2 linked regions of the Rattus norvegicus genome follow. The protein of the gene in region 1 purifies or fractionates together with the protein of each later gene. This does not show direct contact. Links are inferred from orthologs where the notes say so. Each region holds a gene or a part of one and is shown on either strand. Other genes may lie near its edges.

The links. The genes of interacting proteins can lie anywhere in the genome.
Region 2: the proteins of Ciao2a (region 1) and Ireb2 purify together in Homo sapiens (affinity purification with mass spectrometry; 3 studies listed by BioGRID and IntAct, with this or other methods). This does not show direct contact. The link is inferred for Rattus norvegicus from reciprocal best matches to the Homo sapiens genes CIAO2A and IREB2.

What each region holds. Positions count from the first base shown.
Region 1 is NC_086026.1:75,564,227-75,568,419, forward strand, and holds the start of Ciao2a (cytosolic iron-sulfur assembly component 2A precursor), read left to right. Parts: upstream 1-1,393; 5' UTR 1,394-1,526; coding exon 1,527-1,650; intron 1,651-4,193. UniProt on the Homo sapiens protein: Component of the cytosolic iron-sulfur protein assembly (CIA) complex, a multiprotein complex that mediates the incorporation of iron-sulfur cluster into extramitochondrial Fe/S proteins.
Region 2 is NC_086026.1:64,192,088-64,195,587, reverse strand, and holds part of Ireb2 (iron-responsive element-binding protein 2), read right to left. Parts: intron 3,044-3,500; coding exon 2,908-3,043; intron 1,288-2,907; coding exon 1,203-1,287; intron 723-1,202; coding exon 566-722; intron 233-565; coding exon 108-232; intron 1-107. UniProt on the Homo sapiens protein: RNA-binding protein that binds to iron-responsive elements (IRES), which are stem-loop structures found in the 5'-UTR of ferritin, and delta aminolevulinic acid synthase mRNAs, and in the 3'-UTR of transferrin receptor mRNA.

The DNA.
Region 1 (4,193 bases):
TATATACAGAGCATTCACTGTGAGTTTGGCACCTTACTGTGCGTTTCAAATACAAATACAAAAGCTCCTGGCTCACAGTTTAATGAGTGCTTACAGTTTAATGAGGCAGTCTTGTAAATCAACAATTTAAACACACTCAGTGTTACAGTGTGCAACAATAAAAAACATTATCGATTCTTTTGGGAGAAACCAGGCTTTACACAAAGGCGAGATCTCAGTGTATTAAATTCGATCTCTAAGAATTTGGGGTTATATTTCCGATGACAATGAAGTGAAATGGCAGGGATATTGTTGGGATTGGATCAAAATTTCCTGGGACTTAATCATAGGTTGGTGAGTCGCAGTCAACTAGAGTTAAAAGATAACGTAGGTTATGTTATCACGAACTAATTCTGCAAGATGACCCTTTCTTTTCAAGGACACGAAAACTGCCATTAAAACCAACAGACCTGGTTTGCTTTTCTGGTTGAAACAAAGTCTCATTTAAACGGGCTTGAAATTCTGTATCCAAAGTTGGCCTCAAACTGGTGGCAATGTTCCTCCTTCGGCCTCCAAGTGCTGGAATTACAGGCACAAGCCACCAGGCCTAGCGAAGTTGGCTGTTTGCAACTGCAAACTCAACATGAGAGGTGGATTCCTTTACAGTCTGTAAACTGCTTGAAGGTCGGGAGAGTGTCTTAGTTTGTAACTTTTATTCCTGCATATACATTGTGAGGTGGAAACACAATCAACTCTGTAATGGGCACTCATCACAGCCAAGAACACAAGAAAGCTTAAGAAATGCCTTTTTAGGATGGTCATCTCCATTATCGTCACTATACATAGTGAACACAGAGAAAGTTCTCTCGCTGTAATTGGGGTGGTGGTTGGTAGATATACTCCCCATGGAGAGAAGTTGAGCTGGACTAAGTCTCTAGAAGACAAGAAAACCAAGTCTTCCTTGTCCGTGGCCATGCCTATCAACATTTGTCTCCCAAAATAGCCTCTTTAACCGCAAAGGAAACCCACTTCCGGCCTGATCAGAAAGTAAGAAAAAATTGGAAGTGGCTTCCTCTAAGAAAGAAAAGTCTCTGTTCTAGAAGACCTTCCAATAGTAGTAACCTTGATCTCCTTTTCCCTACCTCTTCAGGATTCATCTTTAGTTCTTCCTAGGAACTGTGTGGGGCACTTGGTGACGCCTAACAGTCCGTTACACGATCCTCTGGCTGAGACTACAAGCCCCAGATGCATTTCGACGGCCCTCGGCTACTTCGCCCCTAGACATCCCAGCATGCAATGCGCCTAACGAGCCTTAAGGATTTTTCTGTGCCATCTAAATCCAGCAAAGCATCTTGGGACATGTAGTCTTTACTGTTAATTTCCCTAGGTCCTTCGCGTTACTGTTTTGAGTCCCGCCTATTCTCTGCTCCCCTAAACCTTTACACATGTCTTGGTTTATTTGAAGTCCAGGAAGTTAACTTCTGAGATCGGCTGCGGAAAGACGGTGGCTCGGTTGGGACAGTCGCCAGGGATGGCGGAACGTCAGGATGGAGCGAGTGTCTGGGCTGCTCTCCTGGACGCTGAGCAGGGTCCTATGGCTCTCAGGCTTTTCTGAGCAGGGAGCTGCCTGGCAGCCCCGGATCATGGAAGAGAAAGCGCTAGAAGTTTATGGTAATTTACCCAGAGCACCATTTAAGGTTTTTTGGAGAGGGGGTGGAGGAGGGCCTCACCTTTGGGCTGGAGTGGACACTTGGGGATTTTGCCAGACCTAGAGGGAAGCGTGTTCTTCCGGGTCCTAAGTCACACAGCAATGTCGGGCTATTTCTAAACCAGGAGCGAAATTTAGCCTGGAATTCATAAACGCTTCCTTCCCCTGGACTACTTTAGTGACTATGTCAAGAGGTGTGGGCAGAATGAGCTTGCAGTGGTCAAGGAGCAAAGCATGCCTAAGATTTCACTAGTCGAGAGTCTTTCCTTCTTTAGCTACTGGACGCGGTTCCTCCCGCCATAACTGAGGCCACTCAGGTAGTGGCGGAGTTGGGGACTGACCCAAGGTCACAGATACTCTCTTCTGTGACAGATTCAATAGGAAGTAAAGAGGTAGGAATAGGCATCTCAGCGCGAGGCTTTAAATGTACAGTTTTCTTACACAGTTAAGTGTGTGCATATATTCTCCCAGATACTTAACACTTTGAGGGACTGTCTTCATTACACAGACGGGGAGATGGTGGTTTAACGACTACGCAGAGGTCACATTGTCAGTAAGGAGCAGAGAAAACCAAACTTGTGATTGTAAATATAATGCCTGTTCGTCCTCGTTCGTTCTCTCTCTCTCTCTCTCTCTCTCTCTCTCTCTCTCTCTCTCTCTCTCTCTCTCTCTCTCTCTCACCATTTATAGTATTATTTATCTGGGTTGGGGAGAAAATCCAGAATCTCATACAAATTAGGTATGCTCCACCGCTAGCCCTATTTTTTGACAGCGAAAAGACCTAGATGTAGCACCAAGAGAGCTGGTCATACAAATACAATTTAGGTAAGGATTTTAGGCCAGGAAGAATGATTCCAAAAATGGAATGGCTTGGGAAGCTAATCAGGTTTCCTTATCTCTTGGTAGGGAGGCAAGGCTGACTTAATGACTTAACCCCAGGCAGAAGATAATTACTAGTGTGCTATCTCCACAAAACATTCCTGTCCTACCATCACCTCTGTGTATAGCACCTGGAAACTTCCGGGCACCAGAGATACAACTCTGCAAGAGAGATGATTCTAGTCCTCAAATTTGGATTGAATGACACCTACATAAGCAAAAATACAAAATTCAGTCAGAGGTCATGAGCTTAAGTAGGAGATATGGACACTCAGAAGAAAGATAAATTGACTGGAAATATCTGTGAGGATGTTAGACAGTTACTCGAGTTAGGCCTTGAAGAATAATTTGGACCTGGATATGTCAGAGGTTGCATAAGCTGAAGAAAATGTGGAGGTGAGAAGACAGAATTAGCTGTCCAGAAGGAGGCAGCTGATAGTCAGGGACTGCAGGTGGAGGTGTGGTTGGCTGTTTCTTTAGATAGTAGACTGGAATCGAATACTGAAGTTTTAAATGGCTTTTACTTCATTTAGTTACTTTGTGTTGGCACACACCCATGCAAGTCACAGTGCAAGTACGGAGGTCAGAGGACACTTTGCTGGAGTTAGATTTCTCCTTCCAGCAAGTGGGGCCTAGGGATGGAAACCCAGGACGTTGGGCTTATTCGGTGGCAGGTCCCTTTACCCACTGAGCCGTCTTAGAACCAACACCACCCACTGAAACTTTTAAAAAATAAATGAAAGAGTTATCTTTTTAACTATTAAAAAAGTTTTGTTTTTTTTTTAAGTTTGTGTGTGTCCTTGGAGGCCAGAAGTGTTGGCTCTCCCTGCCTTCAAGTCAGTACAGAGCAGCAAACACTTTTAGTTGGGGGTGAGGGGAGATTAGAAGAGTAATGTGGGGACAAGCTTGATATCTTTTTAAAGAAATCAAACTTCTCAAATCACTAGAAAGCTGGAGGTGTTCAGTAAGGGATAAGGCTTAATTTCAGGATTTAGTGGTGTTCAAAGAACATAACACAGCTTTTACAAATTAAGTTTAGAAGGAGAAGCCTAGGATAGGAGAGGGGAAACCCTGCTTTCCCAAATCCCATAATAACCTGCTAAGTGAAGGGGAATTTTATCCTCTTTCCTGTCCGTATTCGCCGGTAAGGCCAGAAGATAATCTAGAGAAGGGAAGGTTGATGGGTTCATTTTTCTTGGTTGCTTTTGCAGTCACTGGACTAGGTATGTGTGACAAGACAGACCCCAGGGTCCTGAGAAGGCCAGCCCACTCACCTGAGGTCTGCCTCTCTCCCCTGCCCTCCGATTAGCACTCTCTGTTTCATCTGTTTATTCTGTTTCATTTTTTCCGTAGGCCAGAGGCATGATGAGCTGCTGCTGCCTTCTCGATTCCCCTTTCTTCTGCTCCGGTTTACCCGGTTCCCTTCACAGTTTGATCTTCCTTCTATCAACCTTCCATTGAACTAAAAACTATACTCAAAAGTCCCTGAGCTTTGTCAAGATTCTAACTTCTGTCTAAAGCTTCTGCCCCACCCTCCTGCCAAGGCCCTCAGGATGCATTCTCTGCTCTGTTGGCTTCCCCCTTTGCACCTCCTTTCTCTACCAAACTGTTTTCTTATAAGTGACGT
Region 2 (3,500 bases), about 11 Mb from region 1:
AGGTTAGCGTGGCCTGTAAGGAGTGAGGTCCCACTTAGTATGAGTGAGACCTTACTTCAAAATAAAGAAACGAGCTAAAAATGAATAAAGTCCCACAAGACTCTTACCTCTACTTTCTCTTTCAGTGCTTTAAACATGGACAAAATAACATGTTCTTCTTCTATCTGATGAACTTCTTCTCGACTAGGCCAAATGTCATGCAGGTAAATGTTCTTGCCTGTAGAGTCAGTACCTGATCAAAATTTCAATATTCAGTACACATATTAAAACAACAATGGAAAACCAACACCTCAAAGCTTTCTTATCTTTTCAAAGAATAGTCACGGAAATCAAGTAACTGATTTAGAACAGGGTGTGTTTCAGGTTTAAGTACTGCACGCCAACTGCATCTGCATCTTCTTTCTTCACATCAGCAGACACATTAATAGCAGAAAAATGGACGGTGTAAGGGAGTAACAAGCACTGCGTGTTTTCTTTCACATCAAGAATCTGTTTTAACAACTTCTGGGAAAAAGTGCACACAAGTATACATATAAACATACAGATAATATATAGGAAAACACACCTAATGGCTCTGTCTGGAAATCTATATTCACTGTGCCTGCTATGGCGTAAGCCACCACTAAGGGTGGAGAGGCGAGATAATTAGCACGGACACAATCACAAAGACGACCTTCGAAATTTTTGTTTCCAGATAAAACTCCACAGGTAACCAAATCACCCTAAGGGGGGAAAACAAATATACTTGATTCAAGAACTTATATATACTCACACAATTATAAAATTTGTCTCAAAAAATATAGTTCTGAGAGCCAGACAAACAAAAAACATTTCATTAACTTTTAAGTACAGAACTACCATTCTTATACTTTAGTAGTTCCTTATATTACTAAGGAATTATTTTTAAAATGTAGAAGTAATTCTTTGTATTACTTTAGGATCCACAAGTTACTCTTCCCAAGAGTTTCAAGTATAAATATCAACATACACATTGATGTACACTGTCTGTAATTCACTAACAAGATACAGTTAAAACGAGTTGGGGCAACTTTCAAAGAAGCTCACAATCCCACTCATAAGTATGTCTACTTTTTAAAATTAGCTTCTATTTCTTAACCCTGATGCTTAAGTAGATATTGAAGTATCCTTATTAAAAACAAAAACAATAAAAACACACCTAGATGTGCTAAGTCACATTTTACCTGTTTTACTGCATTCAAAATTGCTTCTGATAAAGGTGCTGTATTTCCTACACACGTTGAACATCCATAGCCAACTATTTCAAACCTGCATTTGAAAAGTGAAACATGACTGGATAGTATATTTATAGAGAAAGGACAAGTCTTATCTCTTTATTTCTGTTATCACAGTAAAATTACTGTTTTGCCAGCAGCACATTAATTTCACAGTTTTAAACATTAAAGTTCACTGGTAGCATGATTTGTACTGACTTTAAGTCTTACAAGAGCTTACGTATCTACAAGATCTGTACTAGATCAAAAGTATTTATCACTCAATATTAGAAAGCTCCTCTATTATAACTAGAACTGTATAAAGCCACTTTTAAAAAATCCACGTGTTTCCACTTGAAAGGCTCTAAAACATTAGGATGCCGTTACTCTAACAGCTCATTGAAGGTCCCAAAAGGGTAAGGAGACACTCTAGTGGGAGTACATCATTCAACTCTCAACTTCTCAAAGCACACACCTAAGAAGAATCCCTGACAGTAATTCCAAAATAAGATTACAAACATAAGCCTCTAAATTACTTTAGCTGCTGTTCTAAAGGCAAAATAAAAAAATCTAAAATTTATGAGGCTTTTAATAAGGACTGATAATTTATGTAAAAATATTATTTTCCAAAATTACACTATCATCACTTAACTAAGAAAGAAATGTAAAAGTTGTTTATCTTAAGCTTCACAGAAAATTAACCTGCATATTGTAGACCCAATAACTCTGCAAAACCTGAATCAAGACAATTTGTTCAATTCTCCTCACTGCTCCCCAATACAAGGTTTCTCTGTAGCCCTGTATGTCCTAGAACTACCTCTGTAGACCAGGCTGGCCACATACTCACAGAGATCCCCCTGCCTCTGTCTCCCAGGTGCTGGGATTAAAGATGCTCAATTAAATTATCCAACTTGCATTATTTTTTTACTCTTTTCTGAACTGAACATGGTTCATGAGAACTGGGTACTCCCTCACACCACTCTAACAGTGTCCCCACTGTGACTTGGTTTCCCGTCCTGAGGTTACGGACCATGCGCTTGACTTCCAAGTGCCTTGGTGATAAAATATTCCCAACGACCACCGGCTCCACAGACACCAGACTGTGTGATGATGGTAAGGGACAAGTGAAAGGCTCTCACAGTCCCGAGCACGGCAGGCAAGCATGGGCGCTGACAGGTTTTGTCTTTCATCTTTCCTTCTTCCTTGCTAAAAACCATTAAACTATCTTCTTAAAGCTGGTTCCCAAGATCAATTCCCCTACTTGCCACTGACTCAATTCCTGAGACTAAACACCAAGGTTCATCAATCAAAATTCATTATCTGGCTAACATATCTAATCAAGATTTACCAACTCATCCTAGCACAGATCTCCCTTTTCTCCTTAAAAATCCACTCCTGCAACAAAACAAAACAAAACAAAAAAACCCTGCTTGCTTCTTGCTGCTGCCACCGCCACCTGCCTTTGTAGCCTCCCCATCTGCTTGCCCCTCTGGGTATAAAATCTCCTTTGTGCTGAGAATTTGGTGTTTGGGTGTGTCCTGGACTGACTCTGAGGGGACTATCCACCCTTTTAAGTGGTATTTTTCCTTTTTACTTCTCTCTTTGATTTCTAACAAATATATTTATCACCTGTTGAATACCAGTCTAGGTGTGAATAACAGTAAATGTCACTTACCCTAGCTTGCTAAGGTAGGGTAACACTCCACTTGAACTGAGGTAATGTGTAACCATCCCACTGCCTGGAGACAAACTTGTTCTTATATAAGGTTTAACTCGTAGACCAGTTTCAACAGCCTTTTTAGCCAAAAGACCTGTAAAATCAACAATGTGTCCTTACCTTCTTCACATTAGAATAAAAACCAAGAAAAGGATGTCTTTAATATCATACTACAATTTATAGTAAAAAGCTCAAATTCATAAAAAAAGTTTAAAGTTTACGATTTTTTAATATCTATGAGTGCTTTATCTGTATGTACACCTGCAGGCCAGAAGAGGGCATCAGATCACATTTATAGATGGCTGTGAGCCACCATGTGGTTGCTGGGAGTTGAATTTAGGACCTCTGGAAGAGCAACCAGTGCCCTTAACTGTTGAGCCATCTCTCCAGCTTATAAAACCTTAATATCATTACTCTGTGCATTTTACTCTACATATTCAGTTCACTGAAGACAAATGAAAATTCTTAGTAAAGAAACATCATGCTGCAAATTATTATGGGTAGGCTAACACCATACCATCACACAAACAGGGGAAAAAGAATATGCATAC